2 linked regions of the Arabidopsis thaliana genome follow. The protein of the gene in region 1 interacts with the protein of each later gene in a pairwise test. Each region holds a gene or a part of one and is shown on either strand. Other genes may lie near its edges.

Region 1 (7,824 bases):
CATCAACATTGGTTTTCCCATCCCAGAAGGACTCCAATGCAAACTTAAGCTCTCTCTTCGGTCCAATACGAGGATACCCAACGATGTGGGATGACATTGCTCTATTTTGTTTTCACAAACAACAACAGGATTAGTGGAAAATTCATGAATCTAACAAATAATACAACACAGCATCAATACATTTTTCGAATGCTTATGCAAATTGCAAATGGAGGATGAAAAACAACCTATGGTACAAAATCGATACTGCAAACAAACAAGAGAAACCATAACAGGATTAGGTTGAATAGTGAAACCATAACGAAAGTAAATAGAGTTGCAAATACACCAACAAGAGAGATAGAATCATCCGAGGGAAATAGAAGAAAACCTGGCGACGTAGAATCGGGGGCGGCGAGAGGCGGTTGCGCAAGGGAGGGACGGAGTAGCTGAAGACGGTGGCGGGAGAGAAGGAGGGCGTCTTGGAAGCGAAGCTAACGGCTGGAGTCTCTGAAGAGCGAGCTGACCCATTTTTATAGCTTTGGTTTCAAACTGAGCTCCTATTTCTGTTCACTATCCGGGGAAAGAGGAGACTCTCTACTATTTCATTTCGTTTCCCAGGTTTTAATTAAGGTAAACCAAACCGAAAATTCGTAAACCAAACCGAAAATGAATGTTTAATCAAATTGTTGATATTTTCTGTTATTTGGCTTATGCAAAGTATTTTTCTCATCAAGGGATATGCATATTATTACAAAAAAGTAGAACCTTATTACAAAAACTACATTTCGCACCATATATAGTATTTGGGTTTCGTGTAACTAACTCAGCAAACACAAAACTTGTCAAAAGTTTTACAGTCACAACAGTGCAGAGCAAAATCACTTGGGGCTTTGTGGAGAAGCTGGAGAGTTTTAGTGAGTACAAGAACATCCAGCCTCTTCTTTCTTCTCTCCCGTCTCATAGGCTGACTTATAGCTTTGGTCCCATGTATCAGTCGGTAGGGTGGCTTCTGCGTGAGGTATGTGCTTCGGATGTTTCTCTCTCTTGTCTCCTTTGATCTGCTTCAGTGCGTGTTTCAATGCAGGTAACAGAGCCTCCATACACTCGGCCACTGCGTTTGGGTTTCCAGGCATGTTGATTATCTGGGGAAACCAAAAACATGGAAACGTGAGTGATGATGGCAACTTAGATATTATACTAATGTGAAGTTAGAGATTTGTACCAATGTTGAGCCTCTAATTCCTGCCGCAGAGCGCGAGAGCATCGCAAATGGAGTGATCTGTCACAGAGAAAAAAGGACACGGAATCAGATGACTGCTCACCACCATTCTTTTCCATTATGAAGAAAAGCAACAATGTTCAATCCAGGTCTGGTTATTCAGTTTTAGAAAATAGTGACCTAATTTGGTTTCAGGATTTTGCATATTAGAGAAAGAAGAACTATTCTGACTGTATTGAAGCTCAATTTTTTGAATTGGATGGGTTTGGTTTATAAGATTAAATATCAGTAGAGTTAAGAGGTAAGTAATAAACCTTTAAGCTCTCTTGCATCATAACAAAGAGGAGACCGGGTGTTTCTCTCTCGATCACCTTTTTCGTTGCTTCAGGTGTTACATCTCTTGGAGTGAAGCCAGTACCACCTAATTCCAAGATGTTAACTATATCAAAAATATGCTTCAAATACAACAACAAATCAACAATAAGTAACTAAATGTTTGTATACCAAGTGTAAGAATGAGATCCATTTCGTCAACATCGCTCCATTTCTGAAGAATGTCTTTTATTCTTTCCACTTCATCGGGGACAACAGCTGTTGCAACTACCTTAGCTCCCCCCAGTTTTTCAGACGAGGAATCAACTACTGACACAGCTCTGGGCCCACTACACCAGCATAAGAAATTCAAACAAGAAATGATCATAAAACCAATGGATAAATAATTGATAAGACCAAAACTTTCACACAAATTTGAAGTGAATACAAACAAAAAACTATCTGGAGAGGGTTTGGGCATTTAACATGAAGAATGGCATGGAGATGAGATTTTGCTTAAAGATGTAGCAAAGCACTGTGATGCTTTCCTGTCTCACTATGACAGGGAGCAATATAACTGTGCAGTTTTACTATGGCATCGAATTTGTGACCTCACCAGAATAACGAACTGGAGAGGTGTATCTAGATGCACTCTTTTTAATCGACCAAAATGAAGTAAGTCTTGTAAGAAGTTTCGGTTCCAGAGTTTTCACTCACTGAATTTAACTCGGGATGAGGAGATATCAACTCTACATTATTAATATTTGCATCCATTTTGCCACATTATAAGAAAATCGAGAAGGTGAATCTAGACGTTTTTTTACTATAAATTCATGTTCTAGCTCATTCCTCATCAAATAGTCAGTCAGTAACAGGTCTTCTAAACAGACAGAAAACTTTTTACCCACAAGCATAAACTTAATATACCCATCAACTAGCCACTTCCGCAATTATCAGAAGCTAAGACATATGTGACAAATATGTTTAAGACCATCAAAACCAATGTATTCCAGGACAAAGAAAAACTCAGTGTTGCCATTTCCGAATCATCTTCTTACAGTGGTTATGCAGTCTTAAGGTTGTAAAGATGCAAAGTGTGTATATCTTCAACATTCTTACATAACTCAATTCATCCAGATTTGCAACGGGACAATCAATAAAGTTTAACAGTAATCATACCTTCGATCAGGTCCAGCCCCAGCTGAGACAGTATCACTGACGGTAAGAATAGCCACTTTATACTCAGGCCCAGGTACTTCATCGTACTTCTTTTCTTTCCGAATAGAGCCTGGTTCTGATAATGAGGCTTTCTTGTCTATTGAAAAGGCACTAATATCAGAAACAATTATAGCTGATACAGAACTTCCAGCAGAAAGCACATTTCCCGTAGCAGGCAACTCCAACAAAGCATTAGCCGACCTCATACTTAAAAGCCTACTGCTCATCTGATGTCCAGTGCTCTCAGCAACAAATCTGACAAACAGGTATATCTTATTAGCCCATTTAAGATAGTAATGCATACTAGAACTTCCAAGAAAATCTAGGAAGATCCAGCTAAGTTTTTGACTCACAAGAAGACATAATTATGAACAGGCTCACCCGGGAGTCCCTGATCCATCGTTGTCTTTCCATTTGATTATGGCCCGATGAAACTCGGGGCGGATGGGATCAGACTTGATGGGCTCCTGAAGTCGAAGTCGCACTCTGAGCAGAGATTAGACTGTAATCTACCCTTTTCTCGACGATCATTTTAGAATGAATTCATATAGAGAAACAAGTATAATGAAAAACTTCAGTTACCTCAGTGGATGGGGGCTTGTCCATCCTGCAAGCTGGCGGATTGTAGGCACAACAAAGATATTGAAACAAACCAAACAGCTCACAGGATTTCCAGGTAATCCAAATGCAAGGACTGTTTTCCCCAGCATACTTTCAGTTGGTTTTGCTCTAATCTCGGCGAAGGTCAAAGGTTTCCCGGGTTTCATCAATACCTGCAAAAAAACTAAAATATGAAAACTTCTCGGTTCATTCTATATAGCAAACTAAACATAGTCAACTTACTGAGCTTAGTTGAGAAACTAAACAGTAGAGTCCCGTAAAAAGAATTTTCAGAAAACATAGTAGCCAACTCTTCCGCTTTAAAGCAGAGAAAGAAAAAGTGCAGGGAGAAAACTTCTACTGCTTATTTACCTTGCTGAAATATACTTTCCCTTTCTCTTCGAGTAATGGCTTGACGAAATCCCTGTCTCCCATTGAAACACCACCAGAAGTTAAAATAATATCAACTCCAGAGGATACGGCCTCGTCCAAAACCTTCTCAAGTTCTTTTCTATCATCTCTAACAATTCCAAGGTCAACAACTTTGCATTGCTGCTGCATCACTGCTGCCACTAACATTGCTCGATTTGAGTCCCTAATCTGCAGAGAGCTCATTATTAAGCCTCTAAAGATATTATAAGGTTCAATACCTATTTGCAATTATTACACAGGTATAACTTTCATATGCATCAGGAATCTTAGTTCTACATAATACCTGCCCACGACCTAAAGTCCCAGCTGTCGGCTCCACAAGTTCATCTCCAGTAGAGAGAATAGCAACTATTGGCATAGGATATACCTACAGGAAAGTTTTTTTTCAACACTTTTTTTGGACTTATCTTCTAGTAACTCTGCTAAAATAAAAATGATATACAGCAATACCTTCACCATGGTTACTCCTGCGGTTGCTAGCAAGCCGATTTCTGAGGCACCAATTCTTTCTCCAGTTGTTAGTACAGTTGCATCTTTCTCAATATCACAACCCTAGCATATAAATTGTCAAACAATAATGAACATATGACGATTGTATCTCCTCCAAACAGCTGAAAAAGCTGCTTTTCATCACCTACTTAGATTTGATGGTTAATACGAGAGAAACATGCTTTATCTATCCCCAGGTCTTCTAGCGGTGACCTCATGCATGCTTATTCTTAGTCCCACAAGAGTCTTTTCTCTAAGAAACATTGCAAACACAAACCTAGATAATAACAAAAAACAGGATGCTGTCCGACAATTCAAGTACATATCCAAAACTAGCCCACCATCTTCCATTTGTTCCAATAACTTACCCATCAAACGACACAGTAATTCAATTTATTTAACAAATCGGTTAGGCATACTCCTAAAAAAATGGTCTTAGATCAACAAATGGCGTTACATATAAAAGAAAAGTACGAGATTTCAACTATTTAGCAAACAGTAAGAGATATAAGAAATCAAAGATATCAAGTACAACACTGGTTACATAAACGAGAAAAGAAGAAAGCATACCACTCTACGGATATCGGTGCCTTTCTTGGTTTGAATCAGTATTTTTACTCTTTTTGATTCAGTTGAGACGTCTCCAATTACTTTAGTGTCCTCAACTTGGACAACTGCGTCCGCACCATCAGGTATAGGTCCTAAAGGAGAAACATACCAAAGAAAACAATAGGTTGAAATCAAAGAAACATATACGTTCAGACACTTCTCCATGCATATACACTACCAAATGGAAAAATAGTAAGTAGTGAACAAGAACAGAAAATTAGAAGCACTTTCATATACTCTAAAATGCAGGCACAAAGTTTTCAAGTCATCAAATGCAATATACTCACCACCAGTTGTCACATAAGCCACAGTTCCAGGAGTAACAGTCACACCCAAACCATCATTCCCAGCTCTTGATTCAGTAATCACCGGATATTCTCCAGGACCATCTGAAGCAACAACTGCGTACCCATCCTAAACAACGATAATGTCAAGTTATTAATCAAATATTCGCTGTTGTAATCATCACCAGATTAAATTGATCCTATTAGTAACCTTGACGGAAGCAGGATATGGAGGTAAAGGATCAGGAGCTCGAATATCTTCCGCCAACACTTTCCCAAGTGCTTCATACAGCGATACGATTACCGGAGGCAGACGCTTAGAGACGCCGAATACTATTCTCAGAGCTTCCTCCGTCGGTATCATCTCCGTCTTTCCGCCGCCGCCGCCACAACAACCTTGACCTTCCATTTATTTCCGTCGCTGATTGATAGAGAGAGACGATGGCCTTGTTTAGCAATCGGATTAGATATGACCCTATTAGATTGTCAATGGTCAATTAACTTCGACGTCCACCAGCGACAAGCGTTGACGAACAAAAACATTCAAAAATAATTTTAATAATAAAAATATAATTTTACTTGTTATTGTATAATCAGAAATAATTATATATCTACTATAAATATATTTTACATATATATTTAATACATTGATTCTTATAATAATTAGCTTTTCAATTTCAAAACTAAACTAAAAATATAAAAAAAATGATTTAAAACTTTTAGATATAAAAATTTAAAATTAAAACCAGAAAATTTTTATTAGCAACAATTAAGTAAGGGAACGGAATTTTTTTTTGTATTATCAATTAAAAAAATTAACTTTTTATTTTTATTAAAAAATAAATTATTACAATTATACTCAATACACATGACTATATGAATTTCATATGAAAGTAATATGAAAAAACTGAGTATATAACTTTTTAGTTTAAATTAAAAAGTTAATAATTTTAATTGATAATATAAGAAAAAAACTAACTATTGATTAAAAATATGTAACAATTAAAAAAATTAACTTCTTAAAAAAACTAACTATTAATATTAATGAATAGTTCATATCTTAAAAAATGTTTATTCTCTTAATTTAGTTTTGAAATTGAAAAAAACTAACTATATTGTAAGAATTAATTTATTAAATCTATATACAAAATATATTTATATTGGATATAAAATGTGTTTTATTTTCTTATACAGTATCAAATAAAAATAATGTTTTTAATATTAAAAGTTAGTTTTGAATATTTTGTTTGCTAACGCCGGAGTTAGTCGATCAGTTATTTATGATATATGTTTTAACCTGAGATTATATGTTTATGATATTGATGACATGATACCATATACTTCGTATATGTTGTCACGCAATCCATATACGTATGTAACTAGATGTCCTTTAGTTTACTTGGTATGTGTTGTCATATGTTCTGCTATATTTCGGTAGCTAATCACTAATCACTAATCTCAAGCTGCCTTATCTACATATACTCATCTTTGACATGTGTCAAACATTTATTTTTTCAGGACTTCTCGGGGAAGACAAGAGATTTTTCAAATGAAGATACAGATCCGTTGTCTAATGAGAAACTCATAGGTGATTAACATATGTTGGTTTATTACAACAGTATGCCTCACATTTTTTGTTCCCTCTAGATCCTAGTTGCTTCTTAATAGAATCCATGTTTTGCTTATTTTCTTGATCTTTAGATTTAGGTCTCGAAGAAAGAGAAGCTGCCACAGCTAATCTTAAGGGCATTAGACGTCTTGTGTTAAGTCCTGCCTCATTGATTTCCAAAGGTATACTGATCGTTTGTACGGCGTCGTTGTGGTTTTTTTTATACTGCACTCTCATTTTTCTATTGAATTGAGCAGGGATATATAGTACTCAGTCTTTCCAGATGGATGAAGAGGAAGGCTTTGGAAGGTCTCTTATTGTTATTGATATTACTAGTATAGTAGTATGACATTCATTTACTTTAAATCTTCGTTTTTGGCTTAAGCTGATTATCTTCCACATCTCAAGGCTGTTGCATTGTTCATTGTGTCTTTGCTGAAATTTGAGAAGAAACTGAAATCTGCAGCTGAGAAGCAGTGCTCAGAAATTATAGCATCGGTCTACGGGGAGATACAACTAGAGTTGGAGAATGATAGGTCGGTATATACAGATAGATATGATTATCATGTACTGGTTTTTAATCAAATCACAAAGAAGATTAGAGTATAATCAACATCATTCCTTGGCTTATTCTTGCCTTCATCATAAGCCCATTCCCACATATTTTCCACACTCTTAAGTTGAAGTTCCAACATCATAACCTCTTGTTTCCACCCAACCTTAGCTCCACTGAAAGCCGTTTCCACTAGAACACAAGATGTCTTCATTGACTTTTCAGCTTGCTTAAGGTGTGTCTTGAGAAGATATAGCCTAGCTCTGTTCTCAAGAATCAGGAACTAGAACATACTTCCTAGTAGCAATTCACTATACTCGATAAAACCCACAAACTCATTTTCATCAATGGGGTTAACTTGACAAATTGCAACATCACTAACACAGTCATCAGCCTTACCAACTATATATTTCTCCATAGACTTGTCAATAGCTAGAACTCCACGAGTATGGACTGTTCCATGAAGGGTATGAAAACATGACTTGAAAACATAATAGGGAGCCAAACTTGAAGTTTT
Region 2 (5,663 bases), on another chromosome or scaffold:
TATCTCAGACATCATCATCTCATTAACTTATTCATTCTATATACAATAGAGAAATAAATGTGTATATATATCTATTGGTGTACCCATAACATTTCTATGGTTCCATTAAGTTTTACTAGTGGGTTCTTCTTGTCCTGGTTATTTTTTATTTTGTTTGCATGAGTATCAGTAAATAACGTTTGTAACCCATCTTACACTGTCCAGATATATTGTAAATGAATTATTTGTCCTATTCTTGATAAAGGGAATAAAAGTGAGGGAACTTTATCACTGATCAATCAATTTTAAAAAACTAAAATGGTTATTTTGTTTCATTGAGAGCTCTCTATAAGAAAAATAGCAAGAGGGCTTTATTATATAAAGCATAAAATAAATTTCTGCATTACATTATTACTAGCATATTAGAGTTGTAATTTGTAAATATACACGAGCCTATTACAATTTTCCTGTCTTGTTCTTATTCATTTGGACATATTTTTAGAAACAACTTAAAACTGATTGCTGGTGAAATTGATGAGCATGTGATGTGATCGATAAAAAAAACAACTAGATGAGTGACTTGCGTCTATTATTTTACCAATCCTAGCTTCGACTATTAACCTATAAACGAAAATATCATGTTCTGATTAATTATATATGTAACTACGGTTTACAAACGAATATACGGACAACAAAAACATTTTTATACTTATCATATATCTAGAATTTGATGGAAATATAGGTTTTTGTTTCAAAGTAATTGTGAATAATCAAATATACGATCTTATATATACACACCCTATAATGAATCTTCACCGCGCATAGGTCATATATAAAGTTTACACAACATTTCTATATCACATTACCGAAATCATTCATGAATTAAGTTCGTTTATCTACATGTATAAGATTTTACACGCAAATTGTATCGTTTCTTAGAACATTAATTAATCATAACAGTCTGCATGCGAATGTTTCTCTCATCTGCAGAGCCAATCAATAAAACTTCAACATTCAAATTAGAAGATTCACAAAGTCATCATGATCCCTCGATAATGAACTTCAGCTGATGTGCATCGATAATGTACTAATATCGAGAGCGAGCATGTCTCTTGTTAATGAGTTTTTCAACAAGCCTACTATGAATATAACTTATGTGCCAAAATCTAAGTAACCATATGATCCACACGTACTATAAACCGAATGGATTTGTCCCAAGTGTTTTTTTTTTGGTTTTAATGTGAAGAATTTGTCCCTAGTTTATGTTTGCACCACTCACTATAGACGACTTCGTTATTATTTCTATCTAATCCTCAAATGTAAACGTCAAACAATCCTCAAATGTCATTTTCTCTTAACGATCGTAGCACTAAATAATCATCCGTCAGGACCGTCACAACTTTTTAAATACGGATTCTTTTTTTCTTCGTCAAAAGTAGTCGATGTTCGTGAGTTCAAAGTATCTCCTGTCAACAGTACATGAGCTTGCCATAACTAAAGTTTTTTTTCCAACCAAAACAAAGGTTTTTGGTAGTACGTAGCTAGTAGCTACTGTTTTGAAACAAAAATAATAGAAGGAGAAAATTAACACAAAGGAAGAATTTGGTTACGCGTGCCAAGATGAGCTGTATTTGTGTGGTTGGGGAAAGACCCGCGTGCTTAAATCTCTCACGTGTGAAGACCTCAACGAAGCAACAAAAAATAAATTGAAAAATGATTAATTAATAAACAAAAGAAAAAAAATAAAGAATACCAAATATATATTTTTTAAAATACAAAAATTTCTTTTTTCCCCCAAAAAAACAAGTACTTCTTTAAATATTTAAGAATATTTCATAACTCAGTTATAGAAAAAAAAATCGAAAATTAAGCAACTTAGAAGTGTTTTAGTCCAAAAAAATATATTTTCCCAAGCATGCCTTGACCAAATATTTAGGAAAACATTTTCTCTTTCTAAACTTTACTAATCGTTATTTTTTCTTAATAAATGTCGCACTTTTGAAAAATACTAAATAAAAAGTAAAGTAATTTATTTAAATAGAAACTAATCGATGACGAGCATGACGTGAAGACGCACTATATAACAACCATCCCTGAGCCAAAGCATTAGTGGTAACAAGATAAACTATAACAACAACGAAAAAAAAAAAAAAAAGTTTTCAGATATCGATTAGGTTTGTTTGACACTCGTAAAACTGTCTTAAGAAATTAGATTCTTGTGCTCAAAGAAACCTTAAACTGCTTACCTTTTCTCTTTCCGCCCAAAATTTAGAATCACATGGAAATCAAAGGTGAATCGATGCAAAAGTCAAAGTTCAGAAGAATCTGTGTCTTCTGTGGAAGCAGCCAAGGCAAGAAGAGCAGTTACCAAGATGCTGCTGTTGACCTCGGCAACGAACTGGTAACACGTTCATGACTTTCTACGTATTATCTTGTCTTTCATTCTGCTGGTGGTTTTTGAGATAAGATGATGTTGTGCTTCTCTGTTTCATTATGGTCTGCAAAAGTGTAATTTTCTTAAAGGTTTTTGATAAACATGTTCACATGATGTGTAGCTTTTGCAAATGCAGAGCATTTTTTCTTTCTTCTTTGAAACGTGCCAAGTGATATGGGTTTGAATGTGTGCTTCATGTAGAACTCAAAGCTTCAACTGTTTTTTTACCAAATCTAGGCTTCATGTGTAACTCTGTTTTATCTTGATTTTGTTATGCAGGTTTCAAGGAATATTGATCTAGTCTATGGAGGTGGGAGCATAGGATTGATGGGTTTGGTTTCACAAGCTGTTCATGATGGTGGTCGTCATGTTATTGGGTAACTTTCTCTCTTTAATATCTTCTCTTAAAACAACTTTGTGAATCTTTTTTAAGATTATACAGAAGAAAACTGTATTTTGAGTTTCTGATGGAACACAATTGTCATAAGAACTTCTAATAAACCTCATTTTTGTCATCTTGTTGTCACTCTACAGAATCATTCCCAAGACCCTCATGCCTAGAGAGGTAAAACATTTCAAGATTTCCCTATTTTTAATACTAAAACACTATTGTTTGTTTATTAATATGTATCTGTAGGTTCTCCAAATCCCCATTCAAAACACATTTAGTCTCCAGTCTTTGCTTCAGTTTTACTCTTCTCTCTATTTATTACCCTTTCTTAAGTCTAATGATTATGAGTCTGCCTCCTCTTCTTTTCAATTAGGTAACCTAAAATAAAAATATCTTCTTTGTTTATGTTATTTTAAACAAAAGGTATGTGAAAAAATGATGAAAAGAGGTGAACTAGATTAGGGTTCTGTAAAAAAAAAAATGGAATATGTAAGATATTCAAAAAAAGCCAATATTACGATTACTTGCAATGCCATCATTGCTTTTGCCTGTAGAAGAGTCCAAACCTGCTTTTTCTCTCTTTAACTACTTTTCATTATTACTTCCTTTTATATAAGTTTTTAAAAAAAATTGGTGGATGTGCTCTTTGTTTGCAGTTGACTGGTGAAACAGTAGGAGAAGTAAGAGCAGTTGCAGATATGCACCAAAGGAAAGCTGAGATGGCTAAGCACTCTGATGCTTTTATTGCCTTACCAGGTTGTGTTTTTAAACCCCATCCACCCAAAATTATCATCATTTTTTCACATTACTTTAAACCTAAAACTTTTCTTTCAAACCAAGTAATGATGATAAGGAAAAACTGGTCAAAACTCTAGTTACACATGAGTCTCAAGAACACCAGTTTAGGCATTTGTTAGCCTTTTAAATGAATTTTATGGGAAATCAAAAGTTTAAAAGAGGAATATTTGTTCATGAAAATATTAAAAAAGTTTGACTGATTTTGCCAAAAGAGAGAAGAAAACAATTTGGTTAAACTAAAAAACATGTTGTCTTGGTCAAGCTGTAGTGTGAAAGCTACACTGAAAAGTTTTTTTTGGTATGAAATTTTTAAAAAAATTATGAAAAGTCCCTACAGTCTAAGATAAAGGACCTTGACCCATCAACATCTGGCACTTAAAATTAGACATTTTTTTTTTGCTCTTCTCTTTACTCTGTTTATTGCTCTGCTTTTAACTTAGGAGGTACTATCCATATAGCTTGTGTAGTCTTACTGTGACCAAAGTTTTCTCCTTACCTATTTCAAGGTAAGAGACAAAACCTGAAACAGTCCCACAAATAGCATATTTTTGCCCACACTGAATCTGAAATCATTATGGAAAGTCAAGTTCTTTCAAAGATCTTGCTTTTCTAATCATATTCATCCCATTGTACAAACTTGTAACAGAGAAGAGAAGACTCTATTATTTGGTTTGTCTTGTACATAACAAACTTGTTGACTTGACCATATCATAGTTACTAATTTATCTCCTCTCTTTTTTTTTCAACTATCAAATCTAAAAGTTTTGTATGAAAATTGTAGGTGGTTATGGAACACTTGAAGAATTGCTTGAAGTCATAACTTGGGCTCAGCTTGGTATACATGACAAGCCGGTAAACAAATAAACCCTTCTATCACATTTTAATCAAAAAGTTTCAACTTTAATAACAACATATCATGCATCATTTTTCTGTAGGTGGGTTTGCTCAATGTTGATGGATACTACAACTCTCTGCTCTCATTCATTGACAAAGCAGTCGAAGAAGGATTTATTAGCCCGACTGCTCGTGAGATCATCGTCTCCGCACCTACTGCTAAAGAGCTGGTGAAAAAGCTAGAGGTAAATTAAACTTATAATGAAGATGGATCATTAATGTTTCTTCATAATCTCATAAATTGTTGTTGTTGTCTTTGTAGGAATATGCACCTTGCCATGAAAGGGTTGCAACGAAGCTTTGTTGGGAGATGGAACGGATTGGTTACTCCTCTGAAGAGTGATTCAGATCAAGATTATCTATATAACTATTTAAAATATTTTATAATATAGATTTGAAACTTTCGGAGATTTCATGATTTAATCTTACTAAAAAAGGAAGGGATAGATTTTGATTAGTTGGGTAAAATTTCCACTTCGGAGGAGATTTTTAATGTAAATTATTAGTAATGTCTTTTTAAGTCGAAGCTAAATGTTTTTAGTTTATGTAATTGTCGCAACTCTCTACTATTGTAAGTTGTAACCAAGACAAGTTTCACACTTTCGTATCTATCTCTCTTCACATTAAAATCAATACAGACGAAAAAAGAAAGATATATATTATCTGTATAAGATTATGTATTGTCAATACTCAATGCCAGAGACTGTCTCTTAACAACAACAACAACAGAAAAAACAAACGAAAACAACAAAAAAATCTAAAAAAGCTTCATAAAAAATGAAATCTAAAAAAGCAACCAGCTTTTCTTGAAATGGAAAAATATCTTTTGCCATTTCAAGAAAAGCTGGTTGCTTTTTTAGATTTCATTTTTTAGCCATTTAATACTAACCTTTATTATAAACTGTCTAAAAAATATTCAAAAAAATAAAGGCGTATGTAGATAGATTCTAATTTGCATGAGAAATTAAGTAATACAGTGGTAAAATAAAAATAAAACGAAATAACGTAATTTAGTAAAATAACATGTTATCAAGCAAAATAATTTATATCATATAATACCATAATCCATAACTGCGTACTTTCTAAGAAAATAAAACTTTTATTTGTTACCACGAAAATTGTAAAATAAATTGTGAATATCTACCTAAAAAACTCAATCATTTACCT

The links.
Region 2: the proteins of B73 (region 1) and LOG3 interact in a protein complementation assay, tested with the Arabidopsis thaliana proteins (one study listed by BioGRID).

What each region holds. Positions count from the first base shown.
Region 1 is NC_003076.8:7,127,844-7,135,667, forward strand, and holds B73 (molybdopterin biosynthesis CNX1 protein / molybdenum cofactor biosynthesis enzyme CNX1 (CNX1)), read right to left. Parts: upstream 5,670-7,824; 5' UTR 5,555-5,669; coding exon 5,357-5,554; intron 5,329-5,356; exon of another isoform or gene 5,276-5,328; coding exon 5,149-5,275; intron 4,954-5,148; coding exon 4,823-4,953; exon of another isoform or gene 4,316-4,822; coding exon 4,214-4,315; intron 4,131-4,213; coding exon 4,047-4,130; intron 3,932-4,046; coding exon 3,704-3,931; intron 3,505-3,703; coding exon 3,314-3,504; intron 3,218-3,313; coding exon 3,113-3,217; intron 2,987-3,112; coding exon 2,693-2,986; intron 1,864-2,692; coding exon 1,706-1,863; intron 1,623-1,705; coding exon 1,516-1,622; intron 1,262-1,515; coding exon 1,205-1,261; intron 1,125-1,204; coding exon 894-1,124; 3' UTR 632-893; downstream 1-631. Other genes in the region: MS3 (methionine synthase 3), read right to left, coding at 1-101, 371-510; AT5G20995 (uncharacterized protein), read left to right, coding at 6,473-6,516, 6,609-6,733, 6,847-6,936, 7,012-7,103. UniProt on the Arabidopsis thaliana protein: Catalyzes two steps in the biosynthesis of the molybdenum cofactor. In the first step, molybdopterin is adenylated. Subsequently, molybdate is inserted into adenylated molybdopterin and AMP is released.
Region 2 is NC_003071.7:15,623,429-15,629,091, reverse strand, and holds LOG3 (lysine decarboxylase family protein), read left to right. Parts: upstream 1-2,153; 5' UTR 2,154-2,257; coding exon 2,258-2,380; intron 2,381-2,692; coding exon 2,693-2,790; intron 2,791-2,947; coding exon 2,948-2,978; intron 2,979-3,460; coding exon 3,461-3,560; intron 3,561-3,818; coding exon 3,819-3,890; intron 3,891-4,383; coding exon 4,384-4,454; intron 4,455-4,537; coding exon 4,538-4,681; intron 4,682-4,758; coding exon 4,759-4,839; 3' UTR 4,840-5,101; downstream 5,102-5,663. UniProt on the Arabidopsis thaliana protein: Cytokinin-activating enzyme working in the direct activation pathway. Phosphoribohydrolase that converts inactive cytokinin nucleotides to the biologically active free-base forms.